2 linked regions of the Zea mays genome follow. The protein of the gene in region 1 purifies or fractionates together with the protein of each later gene. This does not show direct contact. Links are inferred from orthologs where the notes say so. Each region holds a gene or a part of one and is shown on either strand. Other genes may lie near its edges.

The links.
Region 2: the proteins of WD repeat-containing protein 33 (region 1) and probable cleavage and polyadenylation specificity factor subunit 1 fractionate together in Arabidopsis thaliana (co-fractionation; 3 studies listed by BioGRID, with this or other methods). This does not show direct contact. The link is inferred for Zea mays from reciprocal best matches to the Arabidopsis thaliana genes FY and CPSF160.

What each region holds. Positions count from the first base shown.
Region 1 is NC_050098.1:151,286,232-151,290,816, reverse strand, and holds the start of WD repeat-containing protein 33, read right to left. Parts: upstream 2,817-4,585; 5' UTR 2,717-2,816; coding exon 2,506-2,716; intron 2,248-2,505; coding exon 2,156-2,247; intron 1,951-2,155; coding exon 1,882-1,950; intron 1,473-1,881; coding exon 1,368-1,472; intron 1-1,367.
Region 2 is NC_050097.1:87,239,747-87,243,562, reverse strand, and holds part of probable cleavage and polyadenylation specificity factor subunit 1, read left to right. Parts: intron 1-189; coding exon 190-420; intron 421-503; coding exon 504-632; intron 633-729; coding exon 730-903; intron 904-3,816. UniProt on the Arabidopsis thaliana protein: CPSF plays a key role in pre-mRNA 3'-end formation, recognizing the AAUAAA signal sequence and interacting with poly(A)polymerase and other factors to bring about cleavage and poly(A) addition.

The sequences.
Region 1 (4,585 bases):
GATCAGCTCGACTAATCGTCCGGTCGTCCGATTAGTCGTCGACTAAACACGATTAGTCGTCCAGTTTAGGTCGGGACGATTAATTTTCCAGGGCTCCTGTTTCGGCCTGTTTGGGATATGGGCTGGACGGCTGGGCCCATTAGTGTAACAGTAAAACACACGTTAGGGTTTAGGTCACCTTCTCCTCTCCTGTTCCGGTGGCTTTTTGCTCTTCTCTCCTGTTCAGGTGGCTGTGCCTGTGCGGCGGCTCACCTCTCCCTGTGCAACACCGGTGGGTACCCTCTGCCCCCTCCTTGTTCCTCAATGTGCTCACCTGCTCACCCTTTTCCTCGGTGGCGGCAGCCCTGCACCTTCCTCCTCGGCGTCAGCAGCTCACCGTCCTCGACGGCGGCGGCCCAACAGCAGTCTGCAGCGGCGGCGGCCCAGCAGCCATTAGCACCAAGATGAGTACATCAACCGACGGTAACTTCAATCACTGCACCTTTCTTTTGATCTGTCCCCCCTCTTGAATCCCCTCTGCACCTTTCTCTTGATCTGTCCCCCCCTCTTGAATCCCCTCTTCAATCTGCTGCTGCCTTAGCCACGATTAGTCGACCTAGTCGTCGTCCTAATCGCGATTAGTCGCCTAGTCGCCCAGGTGTGTCGACTAGCAAGTCGCTCGACTTGAAATCATTGAGTGTACTAATGCATAAAAGAATAAATGCTCATTTGTAGCAGTTTTTACCAAGATCACAAGGCAAGGCTTGGATGAATTTACCAAAATGCAATAGTAATTTGCATGTAGCATTGCAAATTTTGAAATTCTGACTAGTGATCAGCCCAGGATATAAGTGGTAGATTCTAATATTGTATTATTGTTAATCATGAATGGCATATCAATGAGCATATTTATCCAACTGTAAGCAGTTACAGGCTTTTAAAAATAACAACTTCACAATAGTAATCCATAATCCATATGGTTGAAATATACACCTAGAGATGAATTACATTTCATAGAAATCCTGATAGAGCTAGCTTCGCGGTCAGGAAACAATAATAGTTTTGAAGGAAAGCAATCAGATTTCAGTAAGTGGAAGAAAGGCTTCAAGGATGGTATTTTGCTGCAATCACGTAGGATAAATGTGTCTCTCAGACCCTCTCTTAGCTCAAGTTTCTTCTATGGTGTATCTCTACTGTCTACTCTAATTTTTCCCCTTGGTGTTGCTAATTGCATTTATGTATAATCGCTTGGTATTGCTAATTGGATTTATGTATAACCAACAGCAAGCTGTTGCTTGACTTCTGAGAATACAAGTACATAACAGCGAAATGTTCAATGTGGATTATTGAGAAAGCAGAAAAATAGGTTACAATACTCAGTTACTCACCAAGACACGATTAATAGAGCACCGGTTCTTATTGATTGACGAATGTACAAATTTGGCAGCAAAACTTGTTGAGGGATTGTCTGGATATGCGACAGAAGGTAACATCTGCAATTCGTTAAAGCTATCAAAATAAGTTTGTAACAAGAACTAGTCATCAAGATCTTTGATTGGTTATTAGGATTAACGGGATTTTCTGCATAACATACTAACATAGAGTAACTATCCATGTTAAGATTAATTGAAGAATTACTAGCATGATAATTATTCGTATGCACTTTTTGTCGAACTTCACTATTATGGTGCACAATAGTATTGTGTCCATTGTATGCTAGATTCACATTTAACACTTCAATCCGTAAGAATTTCGTATAACATCTGATTGCTCGTGATTTCATACAGATGAAGGTATTTATCAAACATAGGTACTATCTTCTAAAGCTTAAACCAATCAATACTCATAGCATAGGCAACTGCCGCTCCATTTTTTTAACATATTACGAGTGAAGGAACATACATCCAGGACAGCTGCTGGAGTTGGCTGCAATGTGAATCTATCCCTAGCGTCCCGCTGCCACATGCGAGCCTGCAATTGTACATAGTGGAAATCAGCACTACTGATGGGATGGAAACTGCATGTAACAGATGATAAGCATGCATTACAAATTCAAACTAAGATATAAACAGAAACAGAAAAAATATAAACTTTAAAGGATCAAAGTCCAGAGTCCTCCGAAATAAACTCTGTATGATTATGGATATCCAAACAAAAAAATAGCAATCCAAACAACCTGAACATAACGGACAACACTGCTTGTGTAGTCCACTGTTCGTCGCTGGACAGGCTTCCGCATCCTTTTAGCACCAAAACTGTCACCATAAGCTGCAGAGAATCAAAATTACAATGTGATTTGTGTAGTTATGATATGCAAAGGTGGACCAAGAAGTCTACAGTTAAATCTCAAGAAACTCCCGGTATGTTTAACTTTTAAGTGGCAGTTGATCTCACACTCTTGAGTTTATACGGACTGGCAGTAATAAGGCAATACCTGCGACCTAATATAGGTATCTACCTACTCTTCCCCTGACCCTAGAATGGAGGGAACAACGACTACCAGTGAATGAAATGTTTAGCTGTTACCGTCGTAAGGAGGCTGATGCTGCTGCTGTGACGGGGGGGCCGGGTGTGCGGCGTAGTCGGGCGGGAGATTGGTGGAGGACGCCGCGGACAGCTGCCGCATCGGCGGGCCGCGGTAGAACTCGCCACCGCCGCCGCCACCGGCGGCGGAGGAGGCTTGGGGCGGCGGGTGCTGCGGCGGAGGTGGAAGCTGCTGCTGCTGCTGCCGCATCATCTCCGCCGCCTCGCCGTCGCCGGGAGGGGAAAAACGCCGAGGAGGGGCTAGGGTTTTGGATCCGTGCGGCGGGAAAGGGGTCGGCGGCTTCTGGGTTCGGCGTCCGTGAGACGATGGGTTCGGCTGTCGACGAGCCGAGGTCGAGGGAGCCTAGTTCCCAGCTTGAGCTCAGCCGCTAACTCGAGCCGACCGGCGGCGCGTGTTTCATGCCTAGCTCGATACAAAGTCCGCTTGAGTTATAAACGAGCCAGTCGTGAGTCGGGGCGCGATCTGTGGTGACCGGTGAATGTGAGCATAACTAGCTTGCAACCAGGACGTTTGGATCCTTCATTTTAAAAGAATTGGAATTCACTCAATAAAGCAACTTATTTAGTTTAGAATTTGGTATTCCACCACTTTCCAAAGTTCAGATATAAGCTTATCTCAAATTCATAGGGTGGAGGATAGGAAATGATTTTATACATGAGTAGAATTTGTTTCTACTCTGTAACTTACATGACATTCTTCGTTCCACTCCTCTATAGTAAAAATGTAGCACATAAATATGTAGGACATCTTGCTAATAATAGTATACAAATATATTTTATATAAAAACGAATTATCTTAATTGATATATGCCTAAATTATTATTATTGGAATAGAATTCAATTCCAGTAATCCAAACGGGGCGTTACAGTTTTCTGCAATGCTATCTAGATCTTAAATTTTCACACAGACATGTATTTTGAAAAGTAATATGATGACTCACTTTTCAACACATTCAAAACACTCAGACTGAACCGAGAAGTCTTGATATTATAAAAATCATCATAGGTGCCTTGTTACCGGTAACAATCAAATCAAAGTTATTAAAACCTAACATGGTTTACTCGCACGCCCGTGTTTGGCGGATGTGTTTTGCAAAAAAAAACTCAAACTCTTAGGAAATTAACCTGCCATTCACGCCTCTTCTCTTCCGCCTCCGCCGTCTTGGGCTTGCCTCGCGCATTTGCTTTCAGGACCTTCTCTCCGTGCTCCGCCTCCTCGCCCTCCTTCGCATCGCCGAGATTTGCCGGCGTGGCAGCCTTTCCGAGTCCAAGCCCTAGCGTCCACGACTTTGCTCCTAATCGTGCCACTCACTCGCCTCGCATTGCCTCACTAGGGTTTGTCGTTCCCATCACAGGCAAAGACGGAGCAAGGTGACCCCCGTCGTGCGCGGCACCTCCCGAGGCTGGGCCCCTCCTGTCATATTCCCCTGTGTGGCATAGTCCACTGCTGCCAGGGATGAGAAGTGTCGGGGACCATAATTAGGGGTACCCCCAGGACTCCTAATCTCAGCTGATAACCCCCATCAGCACAAAGCTGCAAAGGCCTGATGGGCGCGATTAAGGTCAAGGCTCAGTCCACTCAAGGGACACGATCTCGCCTCGCCCGAGCCCAGCCTCGGGCAAAGGCAGCCGACCCCGGAGGATTCACGTCTCGCCCGAGGGCCCCCTCAAGCAACGGACACACCTTCGGCTCGCCCGAGGCCCAGTCTTCGCAGAGAAGCAACCTTGGCCAGATCGCCACGCCAACCGACCGTATCGCAGGAGCATTTAATGCAAGGATCGCCTGACACCTTATCCTGACGCGCGCTCTTCAGTCGACAGAGCCGAAGTGACCGCAGTCACTTCGCCGCTCCACTGACCGACCTGACAAGAAAACAGCGTCGCCTGCGTCGCTCCGACTGTTGTGCCACTCGACAGAGTGAGGCTGACAGCAGCTAAGTTCAGCCTCGGGCGCCATAGGAAGCTCCGCCTCGCCCGACCCCAGGGCTCGGGCTCAACCTCGACGTTGGACGACGGACTCCGCCTCGCCCGACCCCAGGGCTCGGGCTCAACCTCGACGCTG
Region 2 (3,816 bases), on another chromosome or scaffold:
TTAAAGATACCCTTCCCCAGACCCCGCATAGTGCGGGAAGCCTACGGCACTGGGTACGCCCTTATGTACTGCCTTATGCTCTTACTATTGTTTACTTACTAATGTACTGATTTTTTATTGTGTTTGTAAGGATTATCTATGTACAGATAGATTTCTATAGTTTAAGGTTTTTTGTTTCATTTACTGCAGCAGGTTCGCCCCTTAAATCAAGTTCTTTCTTCTATGGCTGATCAAGAATTGGGTCTGCACATGGAGAACGATGTTACAAGTGGTGGTGACCTCCAAGAGGTCTATACTGTTGATGAATTTGAAGTTCGTATTATGGAGTTGGGAAAATCCAATGGACGTTGGGAGACAAGGTCCACCATTCCGATGCAATCATTTGAAAACGCTTTAACAGTGCGCATCGTTACCTTGCAAGTATGTATGTCTTCTACACTTGTATGGATACTGCACTCAAACTAAAATTTTATTTACCAGAATATTATTGATTTTCGCCTCAGAACACATCTACGAAGGAAAATGAAACCCTGATGGCCATTGGAACTGCTTATGTTCAAGGGGAGGATGTTGCTGCTAGAGGACGGGTGCTTCTGTTCTCTTTCAGTAAAAGTGAAAATTCTCAAAATCTGGTGAGCATTATTGGACTTCTTTGGATAAAAATTTCTTAGTTTCCTACTGGCATTTCAACTAACACTCTTTATCTGGTTACCTGTTAATTTGTTTCAGGTTACCGAAGTCTACTCAAAAGAGAGCAAAGGTGCTGTATCTGCTGTTGCCGCTCTTCAAGGTCATCTACTGATAGCTTCTGGTCCTAAGATCACACTGAATAAATGGACTGGCTCTGAATTGACTGCCGTTGCATTCTATGATGCACCATTGCATGTTGTGAGCCTGAACATTGTAAGTATTGTAAATACTCTTTATTTATATGTGGTGCACGAAGGGGCTTTCATTTGAGTTGGTTAGGTGGTCTGAGTAGCACTCAGATCCTGAGTTCGAATCCCAGTGGGAGCAAATTTCAGACTGAGGTTAAAAAAGGTCACTCGCTGGTTCCTTTAGTTGTGTGCACACATGGTGGACTGACCTATGGGGGGGGATCCTCGTGTAGGGGTTGGAAGGGTTCAAAGCATGAGTACCAATCTGACTTGTAGGGGGCACATCCTCATGCTGCACGGGGGTAGCTTTCGTGACCTTTCTTGGTCGAGGCTCCGATTGAGGTTCTTAATATAGGGGGTGTTTGGGACTACTTTGCTCCACCAACTCTAACTCTGCTCTACCAACTCCATCATAGAGCAGCTCTTCTCTAGAATTGAACAATATTTTGATGTGTTTGGCTTGTAACTCAACTCCATCTCTAGAAAATTGAGCTTTTATTAAAAAATGTCTTTGTTATTCTTACGCTGATGTTGTATTTAAGATTTTTTTTTCAAGTATAAAAATATTATAATGCAACATGTAGGCGATTTACAGGTTGGATATTGATCGATTTCAAGTATAATTTTTTTGTAAGCTATTGTTTTTCTCGAAAAGCGCAGGAGAACTGCACTCCAATATATTATATCAGAAGGGAAGGGGAAAGAACCCCAGATACAAAAACCCTCCTTACAGAGGATGGAATTGGTGAGGCGTTCAGAGGTTAGCTTGTGGTGGAAGATCCACTTGCCGGTGACCACGTTGGTGCCTGGTGGAAACGGCACCAGGTCCTAAGTGTGGTTGGCCAGCAGGGTCACGTACTCCTCCATGGTGCGACGCTAGTGAGGCTCGGCGCGAACGGAGGATGGAATTGGTGAGGCGTTCGGAGGTGCGTCGAACGTCAGGACCAATCGCTCGACGAGGCGGAGAACGCCGGCCGCCCGACGAGTCACCATCGGGTGAATGTGGCTGGGTTCACGGTGGATGGCTACCGGGTGGTACACCAACGGCTTAGTGTGGGAATGAGCCGGAGGGGTAGCGGTGACCGAAGTAGTGGGCCGCTCGCGACTGTGGTAGACGATGGTGGGGTCGTCGAAGCGAGCCAGGCGAGGGCAGACGACGGGGCCGCACCGCTCGTCGACGGGGTCACACGTGGCGTGGGTAGGGGTGCGAGCGGTGGTGTCTTGGCTGTGTGTGGCACTGGTAGAGGCACGAGCCGGGGCATCTGGATCGCGCGTGGCGTGGGTAGAGGCGTGAGAGGTGTCTGAATCGGGAGGGGCCGTGGTGGAGGGACAGGATCAGACTGATGGAGGGAGTCGAGATCGGCAGGTGGGGAGGAGCCAGCAAGGGGAAAAACATCTTTGTCAAAAACAACGTGACAAGAGATGAGGATGCGTTGGGATAGCAAGCACAACCGAAAACATGAAGGTGGTCATAGGAGGAGGCGGCTGTGCATATAGGGCAAAGTGGTGAGTGGGGTGGCTCACCGCCTTCGAGGGGAGGCGATTGAGGACATGGCTCACCGCCTAGTGGTGGTGCGAATGATGCGTTCGGCCAGGCCATTATTGGGAGAGATGTAAGGGCATGAGAGACGCAACTGAACGCCGTGGGAGAGAAAGAATTAGCAAGAGGCGGAGTTGTTGAACTCGCGGCCATTGTCACACTGGAGGGCATGGACCGGGCCACGAAACCAGGTGGAGGCCCAGGCGAAGAAGTGGGTGTGAGTGGTGAACGTGTCGGACTTCAACCGAAGCTAGAAAGTCCATAGAAAATGAGAGAAATCATCCAAAATCACCAAGTAGTATTTATATTTAGAAAGACAGTACAAGAGAAGCCCAGAGATCACAATGAAGATCAAAAGCCTGCTCAGCCCGAGCGGAAGCAGTAAATGGGAGACGAGTATGGCGACCTAACTGACAAGCATGACAAAGACCCTCAAAATGCCCGCTACTACATGGAATATCTAAACTACTGGTGAGATTGGTCATGACGTCGGTCCTGGGTGGCCGAGACGACGATGCCAAGTGGTAGAGGAGATGGTGGAGGCCAGGATGGGTGGGGAGGACGCGCCGGTAGAGGGGCCCCGAGATGTCACATCGTGCGAGAGGGTCCTGGTGGCTAGATCCTTCACAAAGAAACCAAAAGCGTCAAACTCAATGGAATAAGAATTTTCGGCGGTGAACCGACGAACGGAAAGAAGGTTGTGAGTAATATGTGGAGCTACGAGAACACTCTTGAGATAGAACGGTCCTTGGAGAACCGAGGCACCTATTGAGGTGACCGGGAGAGTGGAACTGTTCCAAACAACGATCGAGGAGGGATGGGAAGAGAGGGGGATGGGAGCGAGAAAGCGTACCCGCGGTGGAGGTGGTGTGGTAGGATGCACCAGAGTCAACCACCTATTCGGAGGGGAGTGGTGTCATCACCATGGTGCTGAAAGCAGCGATGAGGGAGGCTGAGTCGCACCCTCCAGTCAGCGGGGACCAAGATGTCGGGGTGGGGGTCCTCAGAGGCGGGAACGAGGGCAGAGCCGGAGTCGTCGGAGGCACGCCATAGGGGGACACCGTCAGGAGGGCCGGCGTAGGAGGACGAGGCAGGGAGGCACCCGGGGCCTGGCTCGGCCACATGGAGAACAACGGCCACGCTCGGCCGCCACCCTGACTGGAGGGACCACTTCGGGTGGAGCAACCCTTGCGGAGACGACACCTCCGTCGGTGGTGGGAGCCAGACGAGGGGCCGCAGGGACGACAAGGGGAGGGTGGATAGGAGCCCCGGTTGACGAAGGGCGAAGGGCCTGACCCCCCGCAGGTGCATGACCACCGGGAAGCTTGCTGTAGAGAGTGGGCGCGAGTGTCTCAGTCTCCATGGTGAGCTCCTCGAGGAGAAGCTTGTTGCGAACGG